Linked DNA regions of Oryzias latipes. The protein of the gene in region 1 purifies or fractionates together with the protein of each later gene. This does not show direct contact. Links are inferred from orthologs where the notes say so. Each region holds a gene or a part of one and is shown in the gene's direction. Other genes may lie near its edges.

Region 1 (4,401 bases):
CTGTTCTCACTGGTCTGTGTCAGCTCAAGAGAGACCAATTGTTTTTGTGGGTTTCGAGAGGCTGGTGCTCCGAACACAGAGTATTAGAGGAGTACTCAGAAATGCTTGAACAGAGCAAAATACCGCTTTGGGTTTTTTTTTTTTGTGAGGAATTAACATTATAATTCTAAAAAAAATGATTTTGCATGGTATAGGCCCTTTAATGGGAATAACTATTATTGGAAATAAGATTTAAAGCCTACTTTTTTGAAAAGCCTCAAGTTTGTTTTTAAAACTGAAGAAATAAACATTCAAAACACATTTTATAAGAAAAAAGCTCTCTGGTGTGTTGGATCCATGTCTTCGATCTTTTCTTTGTCCCTTTCTAAGGTGCAAGGTCAGGCAATAAACTTCATCAGACACAATGCCAGAGCCGCAGGAAAAACTGTGACTCGCCGTTCTCAGTCACTGACAGACCTCAGAGATAAACCTGTGCCCAGCGCAGTCAAAGGACAGGTCCCGCAGTAGTAAGTATTCCAACAAGAAAATTGACCTTCTTAACAGGCTTTAACTTATCCACGATCCCCTCTGAGATGGAAAAAGTTTTGATAATCTAATTAATAACTTAAAAGTATGTTTCGTTTTGAACATTGCACTTACAGCCTTGAGGAAAGGAAAGCACAGTGGCGCAAAGAGGAGGAGGAGAGAAAAAGAAACACACCCGATCCTACAATCCCACCTGGTCACACCTTAATGCAGGACAGTGAAAGGCAGGAAACACTGAAATCTCTGAAAGATAGTATGTATTTACCTTCACCTTTAGTTGATTTTGATACTTAATACACCACGTATAGTGTGAGACTTTATAGTTCCTTGGTTAATTATACTTTTTCCTCCTCAGCTCATCGCACCCTGGTGATGGAATTAAACTCACTCCCTCTGAAAGCAGACAACCTGAGTACTCGCTCACGTCGGGCTCATCTTGACTGCAGGCTTTCTGAAATTGAGGAGGCAATAAAGATATTCTCCAGGGACAAAGTTTATATCAAAACTGATTCCTAACATCTCAAGAAGAGGATATATAAAGAGGATATATAGGAAAGGGTGGAATAGGATCCTTAAAAATCAACACAATTTAGATACTGCTGTGGAAATATACCCAAAAAAGTTGTACATTAGATTTATTTGCTTTGAATGCATTTTTTATTTTATAAAATGTATACATGGTATCTTGAAAAACAGTTGTGTATCTGCTTGTAATTTATTTATTTTGCTTTTGAGCTGTATTTGATGTATTGTAGCCACATAACTGTCAGTAATGAAAATGTATATTTTTCTTTCTTAAATCTTATCCAATAATACTTTGTACAGAACCAGTGTCTTTGTCTTTTTATGTATTATACCCAATTTAACCATAAATACACTTGAATCCTTTTTGACGAAGTGCGCACGCGCAGCCCCGCCCCCACCATGTCTCATTGTTCAGAGCAAGCTAACTTTTGCTAACGTGGTAGTCAGAAACTGACTGACACCTTGCAGCTTGTAATCGCTTTCGCACGCAAATATTACTTGGGAATTTTTTTTAAAACACTACAATAGTGAATTACATCCACTATGAGCAAAAGAAAAGCACCACAGGAATCTCCAAACGAAGGAATAACGGACTTTCTCATCGGTAAGTGAAGTTAAGGTTTGCTAGCAGAAGCTAGCCTTTCCATTTAAAAATAAATACCCACATATCTTGCTAATTATGCTTTATTGAGAGTGGCCCCGTTGATTATGTTTCTTTCTCGTCAGTTAGAAAGCATCAAGGTTACTTTGATGTACAATATTTAAACTTAATGACTATGATAAAATCACTCAAACATAAAGCCGACTCTAAGCTAGCAGAGTTAAGCTGATGAATGGGCGGATCGGTGTTTTGAAAATCATGAGAGGTGGGAGAATGCCTTAATGGGTTTCTGTTTGCAGAGTTGGCCAACTACGAGAAAAATGTCAACAGGGCAATACACAAGTACAATGCTTACAGGTATGTTCGGGAGAGTAAGGGAGTGTAAGCCCCATTGTTGTTGTTTTTAAAAATAATTACTATAGCAATGATGTCTGCCCAAAACATCCCCTTTTCACAATTTTTACATTTAAATATGTCCATGCTCTTTGAATCCTTCCTGTGAAATACAGAAATTTTCACTAAATCTTTCATAGAGCCGAGAACCTAACATTGTGCTTTGTTTGTGTTGCATGATGAGTGTGTGTTTTGTGGTTCCTTCTGCTTTCTCTCTTTGCTGCTCCCTTGGTATCGCTGCACCGAATCATCCGCCTCCATCCACTAAACCTCCTCTGCATCCTCCTCACTCACACTACCCACCTTCTCCTCAACAACATCCATGAACCTCCTCTTTCCTGTAGCTCCAACCTCAGCATCCTTTGATCAACATTATCACTGTCCTTCCTTTGAGCGTGTCAAAATCATCTCAGTCTGCTTCCCTGCATTTATCCTCAAAACATCTCACACCTTTCCTTATCTCATCCATCCTCATCACACCCAAAGAGAACCTCAGCATCTTCATCTCTGCTACCCAAAGCTCTGCCTCCTGTCACATCAGAGCCACTCTCTCTAATTCAAAAACATGGCTGCTCTTACCACAGTTTTCTGCGGCTTTCCTTTCGTTCTTTCTTTTGTTACACTACACACCTTCCTCCACCCGTTGCAACCCGCTTGCACATGCCTCTTTTCCCACACTCTTTGTTGTTCTGGACTGTGGACCTTAAGTACTTAGTCCTCCATTTTCTCCACCAACTTCTCAGCAACACGATTTTCTTATCTTCTTCAGTCAGAGTTTAATACCTGCGTTGATATTTTTTTTTTAATCTTATTTTTTTTACCTCTTTCATTCATAATAGGAAAGCAGCATCTACCATTTCTAAATACCCAAGCAAGATTAGGAACGGAGAAGAAGCAAAAAAACTGGTATGTGCTGATATATATATATATATTTAAAATATCTCCTATTTGATGTGAAATTTTCCGAATTGTTTTTTGTTGTCTTAAGAATGTGTTAATGTTTTAAGAAGTGTTTTATGAGCTCTATCTGAACCTAAACTATTTTGTTAACTTACATTTTCTATAACTCCTGAAAATGCTGAAGCATCCGCCTACGTATTTACATTCAATTCCTCTTTCATGATTCAGGATGGTGTTGGTGCCAAAATAGCAGAAAAGATTGATGAATTTCTACAAACTGGCAAACTAAGAAAACTAGAAAAGGTGAGAGTTTACTGATACTGCAGAGGATGTGCTGATAGAATCCATGTTGTCACACAAACTGATTTATTTATGTTTTTCGATAGATCCGAAATGATGATACCAGCTCTTCCATCAACTTCCTCACTAGAGTTACTGGAATTGGGTATGTTGGTAATGTTATTCGTATAGTTGGATGACATGGTTTTTATTGACCTTTACAGTGGTCCTTCAAGAGAAGCTAAAAAAGTTATTTCTGTTCTGCAGATATGATTTAAAAAACATATAATTAGTGTGTCTTTTTTATTTAGCCCTGCTGCCGCCAGGAAGTTTTTTGAAGAAGGGGTGAAGACATTAGATGGTTTGTAAAGTCTCTTATGTGCATTACTATTATGTGACATCAGTATGAATGTGTTGCAAATTCTAAAATGTTTTGCATTATGTTGATTTTCCGTATGTTCCTATTCTTTTGCAGATTTGAAAAAGGTTGAGCACAAACTTAACCACCATCAAAAGATTGGACTCAGGTAAAGGTTTGACATTTACTTATTCAAATACTCAAAAATGACTGTTTAGTGACTAATCTGCTTCATTTAGGTACTTTGAAGAGTTTGAGAAAAGGATCCCAAGAGCTGAAATGGAACAAATGGAGGTAGTTTTTCCTTTTGCTTCTATGTTTTCTACTTCCGGGCTGGAAAGTGTCGTGTATTTGTCAAGCTTTTCATCATCTTGTGTTTTTAAGGCTCTTATCATTGCTGAGTTGGAGAAAATTGATCCAGAATATATTGGAACAATATGTGGAAGCTACAGAAGAGGTGATCTTTACTGTCTTTAGTCATTTTCTTTACTGGTTGGTGGCGTTTGTAACTGTTTATGGTTTCCAGGTGCAGCGTCGAGTGGTGATATTGATATTTTGCTGACCCACCCAAACTACACCTCGCAGACTGAGAAACAGGTAAAAAGTAATCTCATGAATACTTTTATTCCCATCTTTATCTGCAACTCAGTTTTCTGTTCTTTTGTCCTCAGCCCAAGCTCCTCCATGCTGTGGTTGAACACTTGGAGTCCATTGGCTTTGTGACTGACACTCTGTCCAAAGGAGACACCAAGTTCATGGTGAGCCTTCAGCTTGTTTTTCTTTCATGCACTCAGCTCCATGCAATTCCATTAGGTAACAG
Region 2 (4,254 bases), on another chromosome or scaffold:
GGATCGACTTCTCTTCATTCGATTGTTTTAGACTGAAGCGAGCGCGGGTACTCTGTGAGGTATCCAAATATCGTCTATTGTGAAAAATGGATCGCTTGACATTTTTTTATGAAACATTTCAAGTTTGAATACTTTTTGTTGAACATATTTTAGAGGAGTGTTGTTTATGCGGTTGAGTGGCTCCTGAGGAATGACCAAGAGGACAAATAAATATACATAAATAATAATATTTCGTTTTTGTTTTTTTAAATAAATTTATAAATAAATATATTTCAGTTGATCAAATCTTAAGTTCTTTCTTTAATTCTTCCAATCGACAAAACTGAACAAAAAAATTACCATTGTTCTAAAAAACATCTAAGGATAATAATACGAAAACAATAGCCTAGCTCTTCTTATTAAGGTCAGACTTAAAAACATAAACATACAGAAGAAGTTGCATTATGAAGAAAAACTTGTAACAAAAAGTAGAAGTATACATGCACACAAAAAATGTAATATTTGATTTATTTCCACGATTGACAGTTTATTCCAACAGTTATAGGATAATAATTATGTTGTCCATCTGATTTTTTTCAATGAAAAAAGTGATTTACATACCAAGAGATCTTCACAAAATCATATTTCTTCTTGTACGTCTTACTTTTTTGTCTAATTTACTTTAAACTATTTACTTTCTGAAAATTAGATATATAGATATGGATGGATGGATGGATGGATGGATGGATGGATGGATGGATAGATAGATAGATAGATAGATAGATAGATAGATAGATAGATAGATAGATAGATAGATAGATAGATAGATAGATAGATAGATAGATAGATAGATAGATAGATAGATAGATAGATAGATAGATAGATAGATAGATAGATAGATAGATAGATAGATAGATAGATAGATAGATAGATAGATAGATAGATAGATAGATAGATAGATAGATAGATAGATAGATAGGTAGATAGATAGGTAGATAGATAAAAGAAAACGAAAGAAAAGGTAGAATGGTAGTAAGTAAATGAAAGCAGAAAGAAAAGAAGCTTCCTGCAGAAAAGCCAATTGTCATTTTCTTTTAATGATGTCCAAGGAATATCAGAAGCCGGCTGTTTTCTAAATTTCTAAATAAGAGCTTGTGAGTATGGATAACTTAAACAATAAATATGATTTTCATAACAACAACAAAAAACATAAACTTCCATTCTACAGGCTCTGCATGCAAAGATGTTTTGAAAGATATGCTGAAGGAATGGAAGTATGTAACCCCGTTTCTTAGGTTCGGTTAGCTGTGATTTCTGTAGCTATCTGGATAAATATGCCCGCATCTATCAGATATTTGTGGACATGCGCCCAGGTTCAGCGTCCATTGGCAACTAACGCTTGTATCGGAGGTTTGACAAAAAAGAGTCAGAGTAAGCCCTCTTTACTGGATCTTGCTCGCTGCTCTTCGCGTTGTCCCTGTTGTTGCTCCTCGTGCTCTGGTGGAGAAACTTTGTCGTCTTCGGTTCAGCTTTTTAAGGATAAAGGGAAGCTATGGCCGACTCCCAGAATGACAAGCTGTTCCGAGCAGAGTACGCCAAAAGCGGCCAGGCTTCGTGCAAGAAATGCAAGGAGAAAATCGCGAAGGACTCGCTGAGGATGGCCATCGTGGTGCAGGTAAGCAGCGGCGGTCCAAGGAAACACCCGGGAGCGGAATTATTCCTACAGACTCACTTGTTTACCAAGCAGCTTCAGCAGATGTAAAAAAAAAATAAAAGTGTGTTTTTGAAAATGTGATATATAGGCCTGAGTAGTTCCGGTTTCGTCTGGACTGGTTTGGGCCCTCGTTAGCATTTATGGCTGCTAAATCTTCCGCACAAAGAGCCGCAGAGATGCTCCAAATAAATGCACTTTCCGGCATTCAAGCAGAAATGTGAGGAAAAATCACTGCTGCCTCTCAGTCTGACTCAGTCTTGGTGATTCTATCGCTTGTCTTTCGGGGGAACGTGTACCGCTCACTACTTTCTTTACTTCATTCGCTTTTTCCTTTTATTTATTCATTTAGTATTTTGTCTACCACAGGCTTCCGTTTCAGCAGATGGATTTGAAATACTAAACTTTGCATAATTAATTATTATTCTACAAGCAATTAATGCAAGTAGAATTTATATTTTTGGAAAAATACGTTGACATTCAAGTAAATTAATATGCAGGTAAAAAAATTATTATCTATAATCCAGTAAATTGTATAAAACTAATTTCTAATGCAAATTTAAAAATTAGGATGAAAAATGTAAATATCAATCACAGGTATTTATAAAAAAAAAATAGATCATATCTAGACTGATTGCTTTTATTGTCAAAAATTTTATATCAAAAGCACAGAGTAAAAATTGGCACCAACTAAACTTTAAAAAAAAAAAAATATATATATATATATATATATATATATATATTTAAATCATTTGTATTCAGATTTATATTTGTAAATTTCCCATCCTTCAGACTGATCAATTGATGGTTATTGATATTATTAAATAAACAGTTAAAATGTTTAATTTAAGGCGAGCAATTTAAATCTAAACGTAAGGAATAAAATGTAAAAATAATAATTAAACACATATATAAACAAAACTTTTATTACAGTTTGTATTTGTTTGTGGAATTAGAAAGATGTTCAAGTTTTTATTTGAAGGTATTTTTTATGATTTAAATAAAAACAAAATTGCGCTTTTGTTTTGGCGAGTCACTACAGCTAAAATGTTAAAGATAATTTGAAAAGCCTCTTATTTTTCTTAAACTGTACAGAAAAATTGAGAAAAGTCATTTTTAAAAGGAGCAGGACATGGCGACAATAGTACAATTATTTTTTTCAAAGGGTTAGTTTTTTCCTCCCATTTCACCTTCAAAAAATATTACGGTATTGCTAAATTATTTTACATCCTTTACTCGTCTCATAAAAATGTTTTTTGTCTGTTCTTTGTTCAACTTTTCAACTATCTTGTTCAATTCACCACCAAACTACACTGGAGCTTTCAGATGATCTGATATGAGCAGCAAACCCATCATTTTTTTCCAGAATCATCCAAACCCGGCAGATACAGACAGACTGAAAACTATAACTCTGCAGCTGAATGTGTTCACGCCTATGTTTACTCTGTGTCCCGCAGTCCCCCATGTTCGACGGGAAGGTCCCTCACTGGCATCACTTCTCCTGCTTCTGGCAGCGAGCCTCGGTGCAGTCCACGGCCGATGTCGGCGGGTTTTCGGATCTCCGCTGGGCGGACCAGGAAGCTGTCAAAAAAGCCATAGAAAGTGGTGGAGTGGCCGGAACAGGTCTGTGCTTGTCTGAGCTGTTTGTGCACACGGGAAATGAATTGACGTTTATCAGCGTGGTGAATGTTAGTCATCGGAAAGTCGCTTTTGTTTACTTTTTGTAGGTTGTTGAAAATTCTGACTTAAAGCACAGCGGGGTAAATTGAGGTCTCCATCTTGCAGGAAAGGGAAACTCTGGTGGTGCGGCTAAAGGAGAAAAGACGCTGAACGACTTTGCGGTGGAGTACGCCAAATCAAACCGCAGCACGTGCAAAGGATGTCAGCAGAAAATAGAAAAGGTTTGCTGCAGCTTCGTTTAAACAGTTCATTAACGGAAAGCACGCCTGTGACCTCTGACCTCTCCTCCAGGATCAGATTCGTGTGTCTAAGAAAGTGGTGGATGCAGAGAAGCCTCAGCTGGGCCTGATCGACCGCTGGTACCACACTGCATGTTTTGTGAGCCGCAGAGAGGAGCTGGCTTTCAAACCTGATTACAGCGCTGCTCAGCTGAAGGGATTCAATGTGCTGCGGGCAGAAGACAAGGAGGAGCTGAAGAAGAGGCTTCCTGCTGTAAAAACTGAGGGGTGAGGAGTAACAAAAACTATATATATATATATATATATATATATATATATATATATATATATATATATATATATATATATATATATATATATATATATATATATAAAAGTTTGACTAAGAGCTTTGACTCAGCTCTCACAGACTTGGTTTGGTCTAGAAGTTCTCTCATCTCCTCTGTTGTTTCCACTTAAAATCTCTGCCTCTCCCATCGACCTGCAGCACAGAAAAATGGCCTTAAAGGCGTCCCTGAAAGCCGTCATGGTGTATGCATACAGGAAGGGGTTCACAGCAGAGTTGGCGTGGGACAGGATGATGGTGGTGAGCAGCAGCTCCAGCGGAACGGGGCACTTTGGGCAAAGCAGGAGGAAGCAGTTGAT
Region 3 (4,595 bases), on another chromosome or scaffold:
TGTGTAATCATCTGTTTTTTAGATTGCACTTTTAAATAGATGGGGGGTGGGGGGGTGGTAATGTTTATGATGTTGAACCTATTGATAACTTAAATGAGGATATCAAATGTTTATTTTTTCTTTAGATTTTACTTATTCTGCAAACCCAAAATAAAACCACAAACTCGCTTCAAAGGTTTTCGCTTTTAGCAGAAGTTAAACAAATAATGTACACAAACACACTGCATGATGGTTGACAGTACACATAAAAAAGCACAGTTGTGAGGTTGTGATAACATGCCGGACATGAAGGACAAGGTGACAAACACTCAAGATAAACAAAAGCAACGCGGACTCGTCCAAACAGATATTTGCAGAGAAAACCCCAAGCTTCAGGTATTTTTCCAGCCACGTTTATTTTCCACGCCTACAAGTTATTTATGATAAATACATATTGAGTTATGTTTACCTGTAAGCACGTATGGCTGGACAACAATCCCAACAAAAAAGCGACTTAAACTTAACTGTCGTTAGAACAGATTATAATTTGCGAACACAAAAACGGTTAAAGATAGAATAAATTAAAAAACAAACAGCTTTCGTTATGAAATATTGCTAAACGTAACCACCTAATATTAGCTGTCAACCTAATTTAGACGTCAAGCTAACCGCTTGACAACGACGTCTCAGAGACGTGACGTATTTCGCGTGACACTTAATTTTAATAGAAAGAGGCGGATAAATATTTAAAAAATGAAGTTTTACCATTTTTTCTCCCGTTGGAGGCAAGAAAGATGCGAGCTGGGCGGTGCGTCGCGGGCCACAACAAGCCTGCAACCTCACGAACAAGTTAGCGTCCAAGCTAGCTTGATGCTAAAATCCAAGCTAGTTGTTCTTCCTGAATACAACGCAGAAACACAAACGTCTGTGTTCGAAGGGGAAACTCAGACAGTCGACATGCGGACAGTCGCCGCGTCCCATTCTTCTCCTTTACGTTCCTTGAAGGTTAAAAGAGAAAAGTATCCACCGCTGAGTCTGGAATAGCGTCAAACAAAATATATGGGTCCTCCCTACGAGGTAAACTGCGCGTGCCCGCACTGCGTAGTGACAGCGCCGCGGTATTTACGTACGAGATGGGTCCGGAAACCCGCCGCCGCGCGCGCATCTCGTGTCATAGAACGCAATTTACGTAGCTTTCATGAGGAGGCCACTGTTTCCACGTTTATTCTGTTTTGTTTGTTGTCATGCTATTTTTTTTTAGATTTGGTATATCTAATAAATAATATAATAATTTAAATCATAATATAGTTTTTACCGACTGAAAGCTTAATTTCTTTCTTTTCTTTAACGTGAGGACACAAAAAAGTAGCCTCTTAGTAACACATCTTTTCATTGGTATTAAATCGTATGCCGTTGATACAAAACAAAATAATAAAAAAAATCCAAACCAATGCAATACAATACAATATAGAAATATTGATTTCACTTCTCTCACTCTCAACCAATCAAACTTTAACAAACTTCACATGTAATAAATTCAGAGTGCAAACATGTCTTTTTATATTTAATAGTCATTATGAAGACATAAATTTATTTCACATGTGAATTTCTTTATGGTCTTCTCGTATTTATTTTTCAATCACTTTATGACAAAATCTTGGGAAAGATCTGACATCTGTATTCAATCTTTTTTGGAGCGTTTTTTAAGTGCTGTAAATCAGCCAACAGCTAATGTAATGTCTAATGTGACAACTTCAGTATTTTCACTAACCTTTTATGGAGAAAAATTAGACTGTGAAAAACGATAGAACTGTGTAGCGACTGTGATGACGGCGTGTAGACGCACGGGGGCGGTGATGAGCGGGAACGGATGTCGAAATAAGCCCAGAAGAAGAATGTCATTGTGTGGACTGTTGCCTGCTGTCCACGCTGTTAACCCTTTTTCCTTTTGCGTAATACTCACATTTGGAAAAGTATATAAACAAACCAAACATATTTAAATGGAGTTGTCGCTTTGTCCCGCCAAACCGTAGGTTTACGAAGCACGAGCGTCTAGCCTGACGTTTGTGAAGAAGCCGCTTGTTGTTGCTAAACAATCGAGGCAGAGCCGAAACTCTTAAGAAAACAGCGCTTTAGCGCCGCTTACGAGGTAAAGTCTCAATTTGTGACATAAAATCTTTTTTTATGTTTCGTCCTTTTCTGGTAGATTTCAGTGCAGTTTTATTTTACCCGAGTGTTATTTGAAAAGTAAACAGAGCTAAAGCTAGCAGCACTTGACCGAATCGTTTGTTAGCTTTCAACCCAAAATTAATTCATTTTTTTTATTAATTATTAAGCACTATTTTCTTTTGGGATTACTAAAGAAAATTTTTAAAATATGTACCCTTGAAAAACTGAATTTGCTTATGCTTTATTTATCATTTAACCAAAAAATCAGGAAAAGTAAGAATCAAGTCATTACACTTTATTAACCTTCAATTGATTTAAAAAAACTTTCTGTAAACCGAAATGTTGGAATAATATCTTTGATGGAAATAAATAAAAGGTTTAAACGTGTTAATTTAGTAGTTTAATGAAAAACATGTTTCTTTAAATCGTCTTTTACATGATATCATCGTAATTTAATTAAGTTATTTAAGGTAATAAGTCATGATAAAGTAAAGTTTCATCTAACCAGTAAAAGGTTTTTTTTTTTTTTTGCTTATTGTTTGATAAACTCAAAAATCAAATTAACGAGTAAACGTAAAAAATTAACTTTTCAAGACATATTAGGTCAAACAAAACCGAATTGTATTTTTTGTGATTTGCTTGTGCATTTTTCTTGAATATAACCGTCGTTTTGTTGTGTTTTAGGTTGCTAACTGCACAGTCAACAATACATGCAGAGACTTCTCCTCACATCCATCCAGAAGACTGTCTGTTTCGGTGGAAAACCTTCTGGCTCCTTTGTTAGACGTCAGCAGCTCTCTACTACGTGCAGAGTCGCCTTTTCCCGTTCTGCTGACCAGCTTCCCTCCAGTTTTTCTGCAAAAAGATTTTCACAGCAAACCTGTCTGTGTCACTCCACCCCCTCCAAACCCAGCCTCCCTCGTTTCTCCGCTTCCTGGCTGTTCCTGCGACGGCGTTTCTCTACTCGACCGGAAATGGCGGATCAGAGGTTCCTCGTGGAGTACGCCAAACGGGGCACGGCGGGCTGCAAGAAGTGCAAGGACAAAATCCAGAAGGGCATCGTGAGGATCGGCAAAATCGTGCCGAACCCCTTTAGCGAGTCTGCCGGGGAGATGAAGGAGTGGTATCACGTGAAGTGCATCTTTGAGAAGCTGGAGAGGGCGAGGGCCACCACCAAGAAGATCGAAGACATCACCGATCTGGAGGGCTGGGAGGAACTGCAGGATGAAGACAAGGAGCTCATTAACAAACACGTCTCAGGTATTCAAAATGACTTTCCAATGAAGAATCTGAATCTCATCAGGACTTCTAACGCTCGCCGGGAGCAGGCGGCTGGTTTAACAAGTCTGATTTACTCGACCGACCAGTAGAAATAACCTTAAGAAACAATGACTGCATGTTTGCTGTTGGCTTTATGTGAGATGGGATGCCGGTACTTTTGGTTTCTTTTGTGGCGTAAGAAAACTTGAGTGTGGCAGAAAAAGCGAGCTGGGATACAGACGGCAGGAAGGCTCGGCGGAAATGGAAAGTTTGTACAAACAAAATAATAGTTGAATATCGTCCAGAAAAAGTAAATGTAGCTGCGTGTCAACTTAAAGTAGCAGAAAGTGCAGTTCAGATTTGAAAAAAGAGAAAACTTTTGAGAGAAAAATAGCTTATTTGTGATACGCTGGGTGATCACAAACTCTCTGCTTCGAGCTCTGAGCAATGGGAGTCCATAACATAACTCTGATGAACTCCTGCCGCTCTGCAGAAACTATGTCCTGGAAAACAACACAGGTTTTGGATTTTGGCAAAAAAAAAAAAATCCTAACTGAAAGGCCGCCTGGAAGGCTTTGAAAGCTCATCAGATGATGATCGGAGCGGGTTTCAGGATGGCTTCTGTCCTGAACTGCTAACCAACATAAGGGCTTGAGAACAGGAGGGATGTTCTTCTGGTTCTGATCCAAACCCTGGCAGCAGCATCCTGCTTATTGAGGAAGACTGTTGCTGTAGTCCAGCCGGCAGGAACCAGCCTCTGGTTTGGCTGAAACTGGGTTCTGAGTCGGTTGTTCTGACACCAAGAACTGTTTTTCCCCCCCAGAGTGAGGCTCTTCTGTTCCTTTCAGTCGTTCCGTCTCGTTTCCAAAAACAATAACTGCTGTGTGTCGGCGCTGAAGGAAACCAGAACCGTAGCTCCTCTGAGCTGCAGACGGTGTGAAGGCCCACAGCGACCGGGAGTCGGCTACCGTCTGACACGTTCTTCATGGGGTTTCTACCATTTCACTTTTCCTTAGGATAAAAAAAAGTAGAAATAGAATAAAACGAATGCAGTGATGTCTTCACAATAGTTAGCAGATAAGGTAAGGAGTGTGTTTTGGACACGGGAGGACAGACCCGTCATACAAGTCTCTCATATCTCAAACTATTAGAAGCAGGACGTCTTTGGGGAAGAAGGCAACCTTTTC

The links.
Region 2: the proteins of polb (region 1) and parp1 purify together in Homo sapiens (affinity purification with mass spectrometry; 4 studies listed by BioGRID and IntAct, counting the BioPlex papers as one, with this or other methods). This does not show direct contact. The link is inferred for Oryzias latipes from reciprocal best matches to the Homo sapiens genes POLB and PARP1.
Region 3: the proteins of polb (region 1) and lig3 purify together in Homo sapiens (affinity purification with mass spectrometry; 3 studies listed by BioGRID and IntAct, counting the BioPlex papers as one, with this or other methods). This does not show direct contact. The link is inferred for Oryzias latipes from reciprocal best matches to the Homo sapiens genes POLB and LIG3.

What each region holds. Positions count from the first base shown.
Region 1 is NC_019867.2:6,236,546-6,240,946, forward strand, and holds the start of polb (DNA polymerase beta), read left to right. Parts: upstream 1-1,452; 5' UTR 1,453-1,593; coding exon 1,594-1,654; intron 1,655-1,950; coding exon 1,951-2,008; intron 2,009-2,883; coding exon 2,884-2,950; intron 2,951-3,172; coding exon 3,173-3,247; intron 3,248-3,330; coding exon 3,331-3,389; intron 3,390-3,534; coding exon 3,535-3,584; intron 3,585-3,698; coding exon 3,699-3,750; intron 3,751-3,820; coding exon 3,821-3,875; intron 3,876-3,965; coding exon 3,966-4,038; intron 4,039-4,107; coding exon 4,108-4,178; intron 4,179-4,252; coding exon 4,253-4,339; intron 4,340-4,401. Other genes in the region: enkd1 (enkurin domain-containing protein 1), read left to right, coding at 370-506, 642-778, 881-1,041.
Region 2 is NC_019882.2:7,704,183-7,708,436, forward strand, and holds the start of parp1 (poly [ADP-ribose] polymerase 1), read left to right. Parts: upstream 1-1,421; 5' UTR 1,422-1,531; coding exon 1,532-1,654; intron 1,655-3,147; coding exon 3,148-3,313; intron 3,314-3,475; coding exon 3,476-3,591; intron 3,592-3,661; coding exon 3,662-3,876; intron 3,877-4,254. UniProt on the Homo sapiens protein: Poly-ADP-ribosyltransferase that mediates poly-ADP-ribosylation of proteins and plays a key role in DNA repair.
Region 3 is NC_019872.2:27,669,430-27,674,024, forward strand, and holds the start of lig3 (DNA ligase 3), read left to right. Parts: upstream 1-1,647; 5' UTR 1,648-2,128; intron 2,129-2,832; 5' UTR 2,833-2,858; coding exon 2,859-3,408; intron 3,409-4,595. Other genes in the region: tmem248 (transmembrane protein 248), read right to left, coding at 745-747. UniProt on the Homo sapiens protein: Isoform 3 functions as a heterodimer with DNA-repair protein XRCC1 in the nucleus and can correct defective DNA strand-break repair and sister chromatid exchange following treatment with ionizing radiation and alkylating agents.